Drosophila melanogaster: one gene and its partners. Changing the gene in region 3 together with the main gene of any one other region gives a genetic interaction. Each region holds a gene or a part of one and is shown on either strand. Other genes may lie near its edges.

Evidence for each region. Genes that interact genetically often act in the same process or in processes that back each other up.
Region 1: of Dif (region 3) and Tl, changing one suppresses a phenotype caused by changing the other (phenotypic suppression), as found in Drosophila melanogaster (3 studies listed by BioGRID).
Region 2: of Dif (region 3) and lwr, changing one suppresses a phenotype caused by changing the other (phenotypic suppression), as found in Drosophila melanogaster (2 studies listed by BioGRID).

What each region holds. Positions count from the first base shown.
Region 1 is NT_033777.3:26,796,875-26,802,194, forward strand, and holds the start of Tl (toll), read left to right. Parts: upstream 1-2,166; 5' UTR 2,167-2,606; intron 2,607-5,320. UniProt on the Drosophila melanogaster protein: Receptor for the cleaved activated form of spz, spaetzle C-106. Binding to spaetzle C-106 activates the Toll signaling pathway and induces expression of the antifungal peptide drosomycin.
Region 2 is NT_033779.5:539,945-544,794, reverse strand, and holds lwr (lesswright), read left to right. Parts: upstream 1-2,214; 5' UTR 2,215-2,365; intron 2,366-2,415; exon of another isoform or gene 2,416-2,444; 5' UTR 2,445-2,547; coding exon 2,548-3,027; 3' UTR 3,028-3,086; exon of another isoform or gene 3,087-3,558; intron 3,559-3,626; 3' UTR 3,627-4,196; downstream 4,197-4,850. Other genes in the region: Spp (signal peptide peptidase), read left to right, coding at 253-462, 529-1,379, 1,446-1,554; ush (u-shaped), read right to left, coding at 4,839-4,850.
Region 3 is NT_033779.5:17,425,094-17,430,040, forward strand, and holds the start of Dif (Dorsal-related immunity factor), read right to left. Parts: upstream 3,107-4,947; 5' UTR 2,563-3,106; intron 1-2,562.

The sequences.
Region 1 (5,320 bases), on a different chromosome or scaffold from region 3:
AACTTTTTGATGAGTCGAACGTGTGTGATAAAAGTGTCACACGGATTGAAAAGAGCGACGAGCGAAAGGAAAAGAAAAACTAATAACGCAGACGGGCCAGAATGAGTTTGTACGTGTGTGTGAAGAGATATATATATGGATGTTGGGGTATATGTATATAGAATGTATCTTTCGGATACCAATTGCCATTAGTTTATTGAGAATCCGAAATTTATGGCTCTGCGTGTCGTGGCCAACCACGCACAAATGGTCACAAATCTGGACCTGAAACACATGTGGGCCTGCCTTTGGTTCCTCCAGCATCTGTGGCACGTACAAATTTCATTTGTTGCACTATTTATGTGCTTCTCCACTGATGAAAATGAAATCAAATTAAATTTTCGGCACAATTCAAAGTGAAATTTTGCAGCTAACATAAAACAAGGCAAATGAGGAATAAATCTCCCGATGTGTGTCCTGTGCGCTGGGTTTTCCCATGTGGGTACATTGAATGGGAAATTACTGGAATTTCCTTTCGGTCAGAATTACATGCGCATATTTCGGTAATATCTTTGAAATTTACAGTAAATCCTAGGTATTTGAAATGAAAAACACGGGCAGTGTGGCAAATGTGTATATTAATGCATCTTTGCGGGGAGAAGTAGCCATTATGTTGCCTATTAAGCTTATCCAGATTTGCGTTGCTTTGTTTGATTTGACGTAAAGTTATTTGCTTGGAAAGAAAACATCTTAAATCCTTGAAAATTGTGGTGTAAGCCTAGTAGTAAACATTAAAATTGTTGTTGTAATATTTCAACAAATTTATTTAAATTTCAAAGACTTTAGATAATTACCAATTGGGAAATGGAATCAACACAAGATTGCTATGAAAATTGTACATGAATTCAAAGATTATTCATAAGCATGTCCTAATTTTCCATACGCCGTGCATAATTACAGAAAACACAGTTGCAGAGGGATACGATTTCCATTTGCATTTCCCATTCCCCGTCCCTGTCGCACTTCACACGCTGCTCCCCCGGGAGCTATGTCCCATCCTTGTTCCGCATTAGCAGAACGCACTTCCACTTCATTTGAGTCGCAAGCGGCAGAGCGAGAGGGTAGATGTTGTGGAAGTGTGGTTTTAATTGGCACACAACAACAACAGCAAGCAGTCTGCTACGTGCTGGCAATTACATTTTACATTTTACTCAGAGAGAGAGACTAATCAACTAATAAATCCATAATCACTGTTATTACGTATGCTGCCTGAGATGCTTAGACTTTGAAGTTAACCGGTTAAACTTGGCTAACAAGAACTGAGAACTACTGGCCAACAACAACTGCCGGCTTTTCCCCCAAAAATGAAAACAAAACAGTAGAAGGCTCTCTTGCTCTACCACTTTCTCTTATACTCTTATACGAAGTACCTGTATTTCAACTGTTTTCCTCTCTCGCATGACTTTTATCGCATGCGATTTGTTTATAGTGCAACGACCACAGACACGAAGATAATTCGTGTGTCTCTCTCTTTTTCTCCCACGCATCTGTACCTTCGAACGGTATTTGTGGGGTAGAAGAAATTGCTCGACTTATTATATCGTTTGCCACTCAGAAGTTAGGGAAAGAATTTTATTTTTTATAAAAATCCTAGTCAACTAACATAAATCAACTGAAAGCTCGATTCCTCATATTATCACATTGTGTTATTGCTACAAGAACTGTTGTTCTAAAAATTCTTATCAGTACGTCAAAAATATAAAAAAATTTCGAGACTAGCATTTTTATCCAACTCATATTTATTTATAATAAGCTGATTATATATAAAACCCAAACAGCTTTATAGAAATAACTTCACACGTTATTTAAGGTTAAAAAAGTAGCAAGATAGGATGTTATTAAAAGTAGAATATAAAAAATATAATAATAATTTAAAATGTCTTAACAAACTGGAGCTTAAGGAACCAAAAGCAAACAAAATGATATAAAACATATAAAGACTGTGACAAAATTATTAAAATTTAAAATAAAATATATTAATAGGCTGATTACAAATTTAAGTAAATAATGTTTTCTATATTGAGCAAAGGGTATCTTGCCGCCGACTCAGCCACTCTCTCGTCTTTCCCTCCACACTAAGCGCACTACCAGCTCTTCATCTCTCAGTTCTTCTTTCTTTTCGAGTCGAGTTCAGTTTGTTCCGAATCGCCGACGTGAACGCACGCTTGTCGCGCTTGTAGCAGTTGGATTTTTGATTTTCCCAGCCAGAGTCCCGCGTTCGTGTGTTGTGGGCCGCTTTTGTTTGTCTCGTTTTGTGGCCAGCGATTTGGCAACCGAATAAGCCAAGTTAAGAGCAACGCTACGCAGCACAAAATCCATAAAAACAAGAAACACAAGGCGCAATTAAATGCAAATGTGTGAAAGTGTAGCAAGCATTTAACCAAAAATAAAATCGCAAAAAATCGCGGCTTCAAAGTGCGAACAAGCGCGAACAGAGAAGCTAAACAACAGTGCCAGTGCGTGTTTGTTCGTGGCAGCTTAAGAAAAGCCAAATAAATATTAATATTTGCACAAGAGATCGCAGCGGAGTAGCTAACCTCACATTTAATAAAACACGTATTAAAACGGTAAGTATTTACGTCTCCTTGTTCAGTTATTACACTTTGAACCGTGCCATCTCGCTCTGTCTCGTTATCTCCCATTCGATTTTGCTTTGTGCTAAGCTTCGCTTGGCTCGCGCTAAGCTCAGCTATCTCTGTCCCACTCTCTGATCAGTCCAATTCGCCTATAATTGCACAGAAAAAAATTTACCAAATTGATGGCTCATCGGGCAATTGGTTGACATTTTGTTCCAGTTTTGATCACAGTCAGATAAAATCAATTTAAAGTACATAAAATGAGCTGTAAAATATTTGTAAACATCTTTAAATTGATCTATTAATACTACTACTACTACTACTACTACTACTAGTACTCTGCGTAAAACCGTATTTTTTCCTGTGCAAATTGGCGATGAATAACAGTTTCAGCAGTTGTAACCGTTGCACAATTTTCCCCAGTGCTTGTGTGTGTCACACTCTTGTTGTCCACAATTTCCGTGGTTTTTCTCGGCACTTTCCAGGGAAATGTGCAAAATGCTGCAGTGCAGCAGCAAGTGCTCTTCGGCCTTGGGGTGTGCTTTGCGTTTTGGCCAACCCATGAACGAAACAAAAAAGAAAACAAAGCCACACGCATTTGGCCCAAAGCTCACGAGCCAGCATATTAACACTTTGAATTTTTGGCCAAAAACCAGTTTGGAATCGAAAAAACAAACAGACACAACAAAAGTTTATTTACTACCAAAGAGAGCTTCGTTCAACAGGTTTTCATTGCGGGGACTTTTATTCGTATTGAAGGTGGAAATACCTGGGTAATGCAGGTTTCAAAAGTACTTCTAACAAACCAGAAAATGCCCACTTGTGCTTTAAAAGCTAATAAGTTGCTGATTAGAAACAGCAAAACAAAATAAGAGAAGAAGGAAGGGACAAGAATCTTCTCGCTTGTACCAATTATGGTAAAAATCGTATGACCTTATGATAAACTTAGACTTTTGTTTTTAATTCATTTCGATTCTTCTTGGGTTTTCCAACACCATAAATCTCTTCTTAGTTGATAGCCCTTGACCACTAGCTACATTTATATGAAAAATTCGGAAAACCCCAAGATTCAACCCCAAAAGTTCAACGATTATCGCTCAGAAGCAGCAGGTCTTGAATTCAAGAACAATGCTGTTTTAACAATAATTATACAATATATATAAATTTTGATTGTATTTTTTTCCGATAGTTAACATCCTGCCATTGAGCTTCTTTCGCCTGAGGGTTTTCCGAATAACTGTACTCTGGATTTAGGTTAAGATTTTTCTTCTTTGGCCCACATCAAAGGCAAAGAAGCTTTCAAAGCGGCTATAACAATGGCGGCAAACTGAAAAAAAAAAATGCTAGTCTTCGTCTGTGAAGGTAAAACTGCGGAAGTCATTTAACAGTCTACTTAACTTCTGCCAAAAAAAAAAGAAGTGAACGAAAAAAATGAAGTGGAAAACGGCAAACTGCAAACGTTCAAGATGCTCCGCTTGGGTCTTTCGTCTTGGCCACGTTAGAAAGTAGCTGTAATTGTGGCTCCGTTATTGTTATGGCCAAACCGCCACTAGTCCAACTGCAGGCGGTAAAAGTTGCCCAAAATGAATTGTCATACAAACACGTTTGTTATAAATATTTCTGCACAATGAGAGACTCATTTAAGATTCATTGTACTCGCTTTTTTAGTTGTTAGCTTTATTTTTCCCCCTCTCATTATTGAGGGCGTTTGTCCACTCGGTTGATAAGCGAAAAGGCAGAAAAACAATATTCAAAGCTGACTCCGCTTTGGTTTTTACATCTGCCAAGTGTTTTTTAGCTTTCTGCTATTTCACTCTTAGTTATTGGCGACTTGTGTTGATAATTAGCACGTCGGCTTTCAGCGTTTCTATGACTTGTGGTCCGCTCAGCGTGATGAGTCAGCCTCCTAAGCTGAAAAGAGCGTTACGATCGAACCACCATATGTCTTACTCTCCCGATCTCAGATCAGCGGGCGGTTTAACCCAAAGTCAAACCAGATCCGTGACGTAAATGGGAGACAAATACACGCAAAAAAAAAACAAGACTGAAGATCTGAAGATTGTATCTATAAGATCTGTTATTAAAGTGATATGTAATTACATACTACATTCTTATATGATGACTATAATGACTAATATAAACACGTTTTAATATAGTACAAGTTTATATTATATAGCGTAATATCATACTTACCGTATTGTTATCACCTGTTTTTTTTTAACAACTCATTTCTTTTCGTGTGATTTCAACGTGTGAGGTTTTTTACTCTCCAATCAGATTGAACTGAGATAGAACTGCCTGACCAGTCACAGGGCTTATTGCCTTGCATTCAATTAATTAATTTCAATTTTATTGCTTCAGCTGACCATAAAATCGTGAAGGGAGGAATAACCATAAGTTCCCCACTGCGACATTCTCTCGGTGGAGGGAAATGAAGTCGTTGCACTTGCTTTCACCCTAATGCCTTCATCAGCTGCACAAACGAAAAATCTCATTAATTTTCCACTTTCTGTCTATCTTTGGGTTATCTCTCCATTGTTTGTCCCCGTCCCAGTTCCCTTTATGTTCTTACTATTTTTTTTTTTTTTTGGCCCTACCTGCGTGCAGGAGTTTTCCCTCATGAAGTTTTCGGTCGCGACATGTTTTCTGATCCGTGTCCTGTGCTCTGGTCTAGTTCATTAGATGGACTTGGCTAATCGATTTCC
Region 2 (4,850 bases), about 17 Mb from region 3:
ACTAATTTCAAATCAGATTTATCAGTTTTGAATCTCAACCGTTTTGGTATATTTTTCGGGAGTTTGGTGGCGGTGCGACCCCACCACAGAGGGTGGTATATTTTTGGTATACTGCGGTGCGTCCGATAGGCCCAGACGATGACCAGCGGTACCGATAACACAGATTGTTGACGTGTGCTGCTGCGTGTCATTTCGCTTTTCACCCCCGCAAGCCGGCGATTTTCAGGAACGGATTGGATTGGACAGCACAGCATGGCGGAGGAAGTCATCGGAACCGTTAAGGAGGTGCTGAAGGGCATCATCGAGAATGTGAACGCGCCGAAGAACGAGTCGGCGCCGGGCGAGAAGAAGCCCTCGACTCCGGAGGGCATGGCGGTGGCCTACAGCAGCCTGGTGGTGATGGCCATGCTGCCCATCATCTTCGGCTCCATCCGCTCCGTGAAGCTGCACAAGCTGAAGAAGGTATGTGAAGCAGACTCAGCCCGGAAGCTGCATTAACATGTTTCCCGTAATTCCCACTCCCTGCAGTCAACGGGCGAGAAGGCGGACACGATGACCAAGAAAGACGCCATGTACTTCCCGCTGATCGCGTCGGCAGCCCTCTTCGGGCTGTACCTGTTCTTCAAGATCTTCCAGAAGGTGCACATCAACTACCTGCTCACCGGCTACTTCTTCGTGCTGGGAGTTATTGCTCTGGCGCACCTGCTCAGTCCGGTGATCAACTCGCTGATGCCCGCCGCCGTGCCGAAGGTGCCCTTCCACATCCTGTTCACTAAGGGGGAGGGCAAGCACAAGGAAGACATCGTTAACTACAAGTTCTCCACGCACGACATTGTCTGCCTGGTGATCTCCTCGGCGATCGGAGTGTGGTACCTGCTCAAGAAGCACTGGATCGCCAACAATCTGTTCGGTCTGGCCTTCGCCATCAACGGCGTGGAGATGCTGCACCTGAACAACTTCGTCACGGGCGTCATCTTGCTGAGCGGCCTGTTCTTCTACGACATCTTCTGGGTATTCGGCACCAACGTGATGGTCACCGTGGCCAAGAGCTTCGAGGCGCCCATCAAGCTAGTGTTCCCCCAGGACCTGATCGAGAACGGCCTGAACGCCTCGAACTTCGCAATGCTGGGACTAGGCGACATCGTTATTCCGGGCATCTTCATCGCTCTGCTGCTGCGCTTCGACGACAGCAAGAAGCGCAAGACGCGCATCTACTTCTACTCCACGCTGATTGCCTACTTCCTTGGCCTGCTGGCCACCATCTTCGTGATGCATGTGTTCAAGCATGCGCAGCCGGCTCTGCTCTACCTGGTGCCAGCCTGCATGGGCACGCCCCTCCTGGTGGCCCTCATCCGCGGCGAGCTGAAGGTGCTCTTTGCGTAAGTGTGGACTGCGCTGGGCGCTCGACTTGAAACTAAACTAACTCATTCTCGCCCCCACTGCAGCTATGAAGATCATCCCGAGGAGAAGCCCGAAAAGAAGGAGAAGAAGGAGAAGGACGAGGGCGTCAGCTCGTCCGGCAGCAAAAAGAAGGAGTCGAAAAAGGGCAAGTAGAGCCGGGAGGACGCAACATCCGAACAACATCCCCACTCGTTCCATCGTAAATGTCTTCTGCAGCTAGCCAAGCTCCCTTTCGTTTCGATATGGCTTCTCCATCTACCGCAGTCCATAGCTCATATGGACTAACACCGCTACAAAAGACGATTCACTTACTGAGTTAGTTATGTACGTTCCTTGGCCAGGCACAACAATCTTATTTAGTTCGGTTAGGTTACAATTGTAGAAAATGTTCCCTCGACTTTTTTACCGCAATCAATTTAAATATGTATTTCAAATATTTCTGTGGCTCCGCACAGGAGGCTTATATGTTTAAGAACAGTTTAGATACAAATATATTCCAATTTTTGTAAACAGTGCAATTTTGACTACGAATTCTACATTGCATTTCTTAAAACTAATGCAGTAATTTGTGTAAACAGTAATGCGAATAAATTTTAATTCTAACGTTTAATTAAACTAGTTTTGTATTGAGTAGAGGGTTTTTAGGAATGTAACGGCTTAAGAGAAAAACCTAATACATTTTAAGTTGAGCTTACCAAAATCCAAAGAATTTTTAAATTTAAAACATAATACAAAAGTGCTTTGAAAAAGTCAGTATTTTAATACCACTGTTTATCCACGGCCACACTAAATATCGATAACCGCATAGTGAGACCCTTTGTGTAGAAAAACTTATACCTTTAGCGAGCACAAGCGTTCATTCCTGAAAAATTGCGGTAAAAATTGCGAAAAGCGCGAGTTCCCCCCGCGATTGCAAATAATTAATTTGCTTGGAACCACTGGAGACGCAAGGACGAACAGAGAGGTAGGTGCTCTTGCACTTAGCGCGCCAAAAGGCGACAAAGCCCCTCGTAGGCCACTTACCCACACACACACATTCGCAGACAGACGCGCGTGCAAAAAAGGCCAAGTGGGACTGCTAGCGGAAATCCAGGACTCGAGGACACGTTCGGGCGGCAGTAGAGAAGCGAGCAAGCAGCGACGACCATGTCCGGCATTGCTATTACACGATTGGGGGAGGAGCGCAAGGCCTGGCGCAAGGATCACCCATTCGGGTTCGTCGCACGACCCGCCAAGAACCCTGACGGCACCCTCAACCTGATGATCTGGGAGTGCGCCATTCCCGGCAAGAAGTCCACCCCCTGGGAGGGCGGGCTCTACAAGCTGCGCATGATCTTCAAGGACGACTACCCCACCTCGCCGCCCAAGTGCAAGTTCGAACCGCCGCTGTTCCACCCGAACGTCTATCCCTCGGGCACTGTTTGCCTGTCGCTGCTGGACGAGGAGAAGGACTGGCGCCCCGCCATCACCATCAAGCAAATCCTGCTGGGCATCCAGGACCTGCTCAACGAGCCGAACATCAAGGACCCAGCCCAGGCGGAGGCCTACACCATCTACTGCCAGAACCGACTGGAGTACGAGAAGCGCGTGCGTGCCCAGGCCCGCGCCATGGCGGCCACTGAGTAGTCGGGCTCCTGCCAACCACCTTTACCACATAGACATTAACAAATACACACATCTAGCCGGTAAGCGTTTGTTTGGAATGCTCTCCACGTCTACTTACTTTTAAAGAATCGACTAATTTTGGATAGCCCCCGCGGCCCGAAGCATCTAATTTTTTAATGTTCTGCACTTGCTTAATTACCAGCATGTACCATCTGAATAAATACAAATAAGTCCTGTAATTTTTCGATGAGGCCCAAAGTGGCCACGTGGCACCCAGAATTCGACGCTCTTTTCAGCTTCCATTCTGGGTGCAGGTGCCGATTATTCTACGGGCTATTTTGTATCGCGAGTACTACGTACAAACCTATGTAATTTCAATAAAAATTTATTAGTTGTAAAAGCTTATGCATTTTAAAGCGGAAAGGATTTCCCAGCAAATGTGCAGTCGAGCACTTGTTGGTCGTCAGTAGCCGTACAGCTGGATTTAGTGCTTGAATTATTCCATATAAAGTTCTTCCTTTTGCTTATTATTTAAGTAACATGACTATTTTTAAATTTAAGCATTTTATTTAAAAACTTGTTCAGTCCATTTTTACCTTTATATTTTATTTGATTTTTAGGCATTTGAAGCTGGTCACATTTCCCAACTATTTCAGCTGATCTGGCAAGTCCGCCAACATTACTATGCATAATTTTTGGCTGATCTGGTAGCATTCGCTGCTGATATAGCAATGCTTCCAGCTAACGGTTCATTTCCAACGAGGCCGCCATATTGAAAAATGCCCAGTTAAAACACCTACTGAGATTTGTGTTCGCCTGGTACTTCAGTCTGGGGAATCCGGCATACTGACAGCTGAATTTATTATTTTTCCCGAGGATGCTCATATATTTCGAACTGAATTACCAGGGAAGCATAAGCGTGGAAAGGTGTTTTTAAAACAACCGCCAGGATTCCCAAAGTCTTGGTTTTGGTGGGCATGCTCTATTCTGAGTACCAGGCGAACAGAACTTCTAGTAGGCTACCAACGATCAGCTGATCTATCTGATGCCTGGTCTAATCTAACGGTTCTTTTATTAGGGATGCCACAATATTTTTCTATTGATCCGGTAATATGTCCGATGTTTGACAATATTTTAATCAATCTGGCAACTATGTCGTCATAACATTTTTCGCTAATCTGGCAGCACTCAAATCGTTCGTTGAATTCAAAAATGTAAAATGTCGTTTAGTTACTAATTTCACTATATTTTATATTGAATAAATTAATTACTTTTATTGTCGCACACACTTAATAAATAATGTACTCATTTAAATTACACAGTTAGAATTGCTCGCTTTATGGGGAACAGCGAGTAATTTACATTATAGTATTGGATCTACATTGGAATACTTCGCCTCCTTCTACTCCGCAGACCATTGCAAACTTGTAGTTTCTCGCCCTCAATTTAATTTCTGTCTAAGTGGTAAGCTTTGGCATGCATTATATGTCATGGTTCCCACTTAATGGGTATGCGCCTAAATTAATGTACCTAAGTATCTATGTGTTATTCCTTTAGGTGTACTGTATATGTACGGGAGTACGATGTATATATCTACTTCTATCGATCGGTAAGTCGAAGGAGTCAGTCCCCAAATGGAGTTGGAAGTGGAGGGCAGCGACGGGAGATTTTCCGGGAATACTGTCGTCGATGGTTGGTTGCGGTTTGGATAGTGTACATTTTTAAAGGAGGCTAGGATTCGATTAGTTTCGATTGGGTTGGGCTGCTGCTTAGAAGCACGTGTAATACCACTCAAGCTGCTTGCGCTGCGCCTCCCACCGCAGCTGGCTTTCTCAAATGGCCGC
Region 3 (4,947 bases):
CAAAGGAAACATTTTTGCAGTCAAGTAAATAATGCCCGAGCACCCCAAAAACATTCCCAGAATGCCGAGCCAGACCACATCGCACCAGACCTCATTTACCCAAGCGTTGGAGCCATTTCCATTCTAATGGCCAAGACAAATCGTTCGTACGTACATTCGCTTTCAGCCAAGAAAAACGACCGACACGCGATGGCCGAAAATTGGAGGAAACCGCAGCATTTAATTATTTTGCTATAAAACTTTTCACGATTCAATCAATTCAGATTCGGTACAACATGGCGTATGCGTAATGGGATTCAGCTATATTTTTCCCCGCATTGTTTGTAAAATTGTGTGGTGGCGTGAATTGTTTGTAGAACTTGGGCTTTGGTTGGCGATGTAAATGTGAATGACAGATCATTTTAAAGTTTAGTTGGTTTTTGTTCATGCGGAAAATGAAAAGAAATATATATAAGGTATAGTACTCAATCTCACGCCGGGTTATCAGGGAGACTAGAATATAAAGCCCCGCTGGGATTTTCTTCTTGCTGATTAAAGTTCAAGTCTTATCAGTTAATTGAAATAAGTTCAAAGCAATTGCATTTGCTCTCTTGGGTTTTCCGAAAAAGTGTACAAGTATTCAATAAACTGATCAAGCTGAATTGACTCTTGAAAACAAACATAATTAGTATAAGTTTGTTATATTATTTTACAGTAAAAATAGTTTTGAATCGATTACTGGTGGGTGAAAATACTATAGCTTACATGAAGCTTCTCATTGTGTATTCTTTAAATTTTAATTTAAATTTTAATTTAAAGAATAAGTAATTCAAAGGTTTCTGATAATTCTTAGCAACATATATTTAACCAGCTCTATCCAGAGTTCATCGTTTTGACCGTTTCTCAATTGTTTACCAATTAGACTTGCACCCTACACACAAATGTGTGTACAGGCTGTGACCTTCCTTCTCCCGCTGGCATTTAATTTACAATAACTTTCAATTCGGAAACAAGTCTGCTTAATACAATTGGCAAAGTTATAGCTAGACTGCGACTTTATACTGTATGTAAGCAATCGCACACACATGGACCAAAAGGTGTGAAAAGTGCGGACTTTGTTTGTGTTTTATTTTCTACAATTACCGAAAACAATTCCGCTGCCGTTGGCATCATCGGTTCATCGCCCAATACAAGTTAGATAGCTGCTGGCTGGGAGCAGATAAATCGATATTTGAGTAAGTTTTGACCATGACTGTTCCATTTCATTCTATTTTTATGGATTCCGAAACGGCCAAATGGCCGAATGTTTTGCGTGCGGATAAGGCAAAAGTCTTAAAGACTTTATGCCATTTCGTGTCTTTCGATTGCAGTTTCAGTTCCACGGTTCAGGTTGTATATTCCTTTGATTACAAATGAAATAAACGAAATCTTCCAGATGCCACCGCAAATTTTTATAAACTTTTGCCGTGCCGATTTCAGTTGTAAAAATATTTACATTTTGTTAATATAAATATTTGCATTTGCTTCGATTTTTTTTTTTTTGACCATTGAATTCCTCTTCTTTTTGGCTCCTCTTGAGCAGATTTTCTTTCACATTTGGAAAGTTATTTAAAGACTAACTGAGTAGCTATATTCTTCCAATTTTTTATATCAACGCCTAAATTATTTCCAATACAACAGCTTGAAATGTGAAAACGTCACAAACAGCTTTGGCACTATAATTTTGAGATAAGAGTTATAATGTTTATAATTGCATACATTATTGCTCTTGGGAGGAAATGTCTACTCTAGGGTGCAGTTCCGGCATATGTTATGTGCAAATGTACAAATCTGAACCAGTATGTTAATGATTTTTCGTAGTCGACCAATAAAACAAGAAAGAAACACTGGGACTACTAGTAAATGTCGTACTGAGTGTTATTCTCTTTTAATAAATCGCAGTCAACCGCCTTTCTTGTTTTCATTTGCATATATTATACGCCTGTTGGGTTGCAAAACTGCAGTTACACTAGCAGAAATATATATTTGCTGATAAGCAAAAACATACCATATTTTAATAAATATTTACGAAGTATTGCACAAAGTCTATATTTAATGTATTGATATAGCTATGCCTATAATCTTTCGGGTGTTTAGGTTCAAATCAAACAGGAAGTAGATTAAAGAAGTCACAAAAATATTTAAAATATTTCCCGCATGGACAAAAAAAACAAAATAAAAATAATACACTAAAAATTAAAATTTTTTGTCGTTTTTTTTTGCGATTACGCAGTCTAGTGAACCCGGCCGTATTCCCGTTTTTCACTTCACTATTAATAAATACAAATTTCATTACACGTGGCATTAGATAAGTAATTGCCCGCATCGGAAAATTGTGTACTTATTTATGTATCTGGGATTAAAATTTATGAATTCCGCCGAGTTGCTGGCACGTAGTTTTTTGCAGTGCCATTGCAATCGAACCTGACACGGGAAGCTGTCTGTACCTAAGTTTCTAAAGCCGCCTTCTGGACCGGGGACTTTACAAACTACGCCTTAAGCTAGCTAGCTGACTATAGTTTCAGAAAATTTATTATAGCTAACCTTTTATGGTGTAGTAGGTAGGCTGCTTTAAATGCTTGATTAAATTTGGATTCTCGATCCGAATGCACTGGGTCAGACAGAAATCGAATTAGCTCTTTGTTGTGTTGACACGTGTAATTGATTAAATTTGTCTTTTATGATTGACTGGTTTTCGGTTTATGTGTCGGACTTATCGCGCGCGACTCACAAAAGGCGCGCCAAAAAAATTATGAAGAAATTGAAAACAAAAACAAAAGTTGCTCCCACAAGCGACGTTGTTGCTCCGCTCATGTATTTTACTTTTGAGTTTTGTTTAATTTTTGCTATTGACACTGCAGCCGCCTGTTTAGAGCGGACATTGATTTATACACACATCTGTAGTTTACGTTGTAGTTGTCGTGCTTCGTATAATTAACCAATACACTGGCAGCTATATAGTCGCGTGCGACTTGCACAATATGCGTTATATGTACATCTATATGTATATATATATGTATGGATATCTATGTGTGAACAAGTCGGCGCTTCACGTCCGTCGGCGGCCAAGTTCAGATTGAAACTGAGCGGTTCGCTTCACACTCGGCTGCAAGAGAGCTTCGGAATGGCTTCGATAGCTCAGGCTCCATTCTCAGCTGTTCGCTCTCTGCGATCGCATGCATTCGGTTCGTATACTTGATACGTATACGTGATACGTATACGTGATAAAAAGTTACCGCTGCTGATATGATGGTTGCTGATCGCAACTGACGGAGGGTGCCAATATCTGTTTTTATTTTCGAAACTGCTTCACTTTTCCTTTATTTATTTTCATTTCCGTTGTGCGTACTCAATGTTTCGTTCTCTCTAATGTATTTGTGTTCAAGTGCGTTCCTATGACGCCATCGAGCAGAAAAAATGGTTATAGATTTTTAAGTGGATTTGGAAAAGTGTTGAGATTTTTATAACGCTCTGCAGGTGTTCCAATTTCGATTTTCGGCTATAAGTAAACATTGATTCCCTTACAAAAAAATGTGTACTTTTTGCTGGGAATGAAAATTTATTGTTATGAATGGTTTGGAAATATCATAAAAATTCAAAATACCTAAGATGTTATTTCACATGAACTCTTTTCTCATTAAAAATTCGTTTAAAATAGTGCACAGGTTTCTGGACAAATCAAGATCAAAGGTTTATTATAAGATCAGATAGGAGGAAAAGTTTTTCTTTATGTGAATCATTCGCCATTCTGGAATGAGAAGCCGAAAAAAATCGACAACTATTAGCCAGATGCATAACAATAGATCTATTTATCTAATATAGGTATGACAGCTGAATGTTTTTATTGATTTTCCCAGGAATTGACAGACCTGAAACGAGTTCGACCCTCGGCAAATGTAAATTATAAAATCCATACAACGTTGCTAATTCACGCCAACAAAATTCCCAAATGAGACCGAAAAAAGATTCGCCAACGTCTAAGGTCGAACTGAGTTATTAACTCAATTTTTGGCTTCTGTTCCATAGACAGATTTTAGTCATTGAAATAAACACAAGTGCAGACCAAACACGTAGGGGAAAAATATTTGCAGTTAACATTGCCAATCGGGTGGAAATATTTCATTATTGTTGTGCATGAATGAAAATAGTATAATTTATTTCTGCTAGCCCACGAAAATTTCGAACTAAAAACACAGTTTTCATGTAGCGTGGGCTCGTCTGCGGACAAAATGCATTTTGGGAGCAAATTTCCCGGCCGCAATTTACATCTATATAGGATTGCAACAAAGCCAAGAATACCTCAGGACGTGCAAAAATAAACTAAACTATTTCAGCTCTGGGGTTTGAGAAATTTTAAGTTAGGAAAACAGATATTTATTTATTTAGCAATTTATTGAGCAAATATGAATATTTAGATATAGATGAAAATATAGTACGACAATTTGTATAACTTTTTGAACATGTTATTATCAAATTTACAATTGTAATCCACACTTTTATTCTATTATTTTAAAATTTCTTGCTCTTTATGGCTAGGGATCACTGTAGAAGGATTTTAGTTGCGATTGTGCTTTTAGCCATACATGTATGACAAATGCCCCATGACGTAGTAGCCACTTTCAGTAAACATATCAGACGTCACAGAAATCTCCAACTCTTTATTAAGCTCCCCGAAGAAGAAGAGAAGAAAAAAAGGGGGAGAAGTCAAAGACTCTACCCCCGCCCAAACAACTCCCCCTGCAATTCTGGCACATTTGCGCTTCAAGGTCACGCGCGTGAGCGGGAACGAGAGGGAGAGAGAGAGCGAGGAAGAGAGAATGCAGAAAAACAAAGCCAAGCCCCAAAGAAATCGTGGAAGGGGGTGGAAGGGGGCGAAGGGGGCTTGACGGCGGAGCGCATAGTTGAGCAACCACTTGTTGTTGCTGCCGC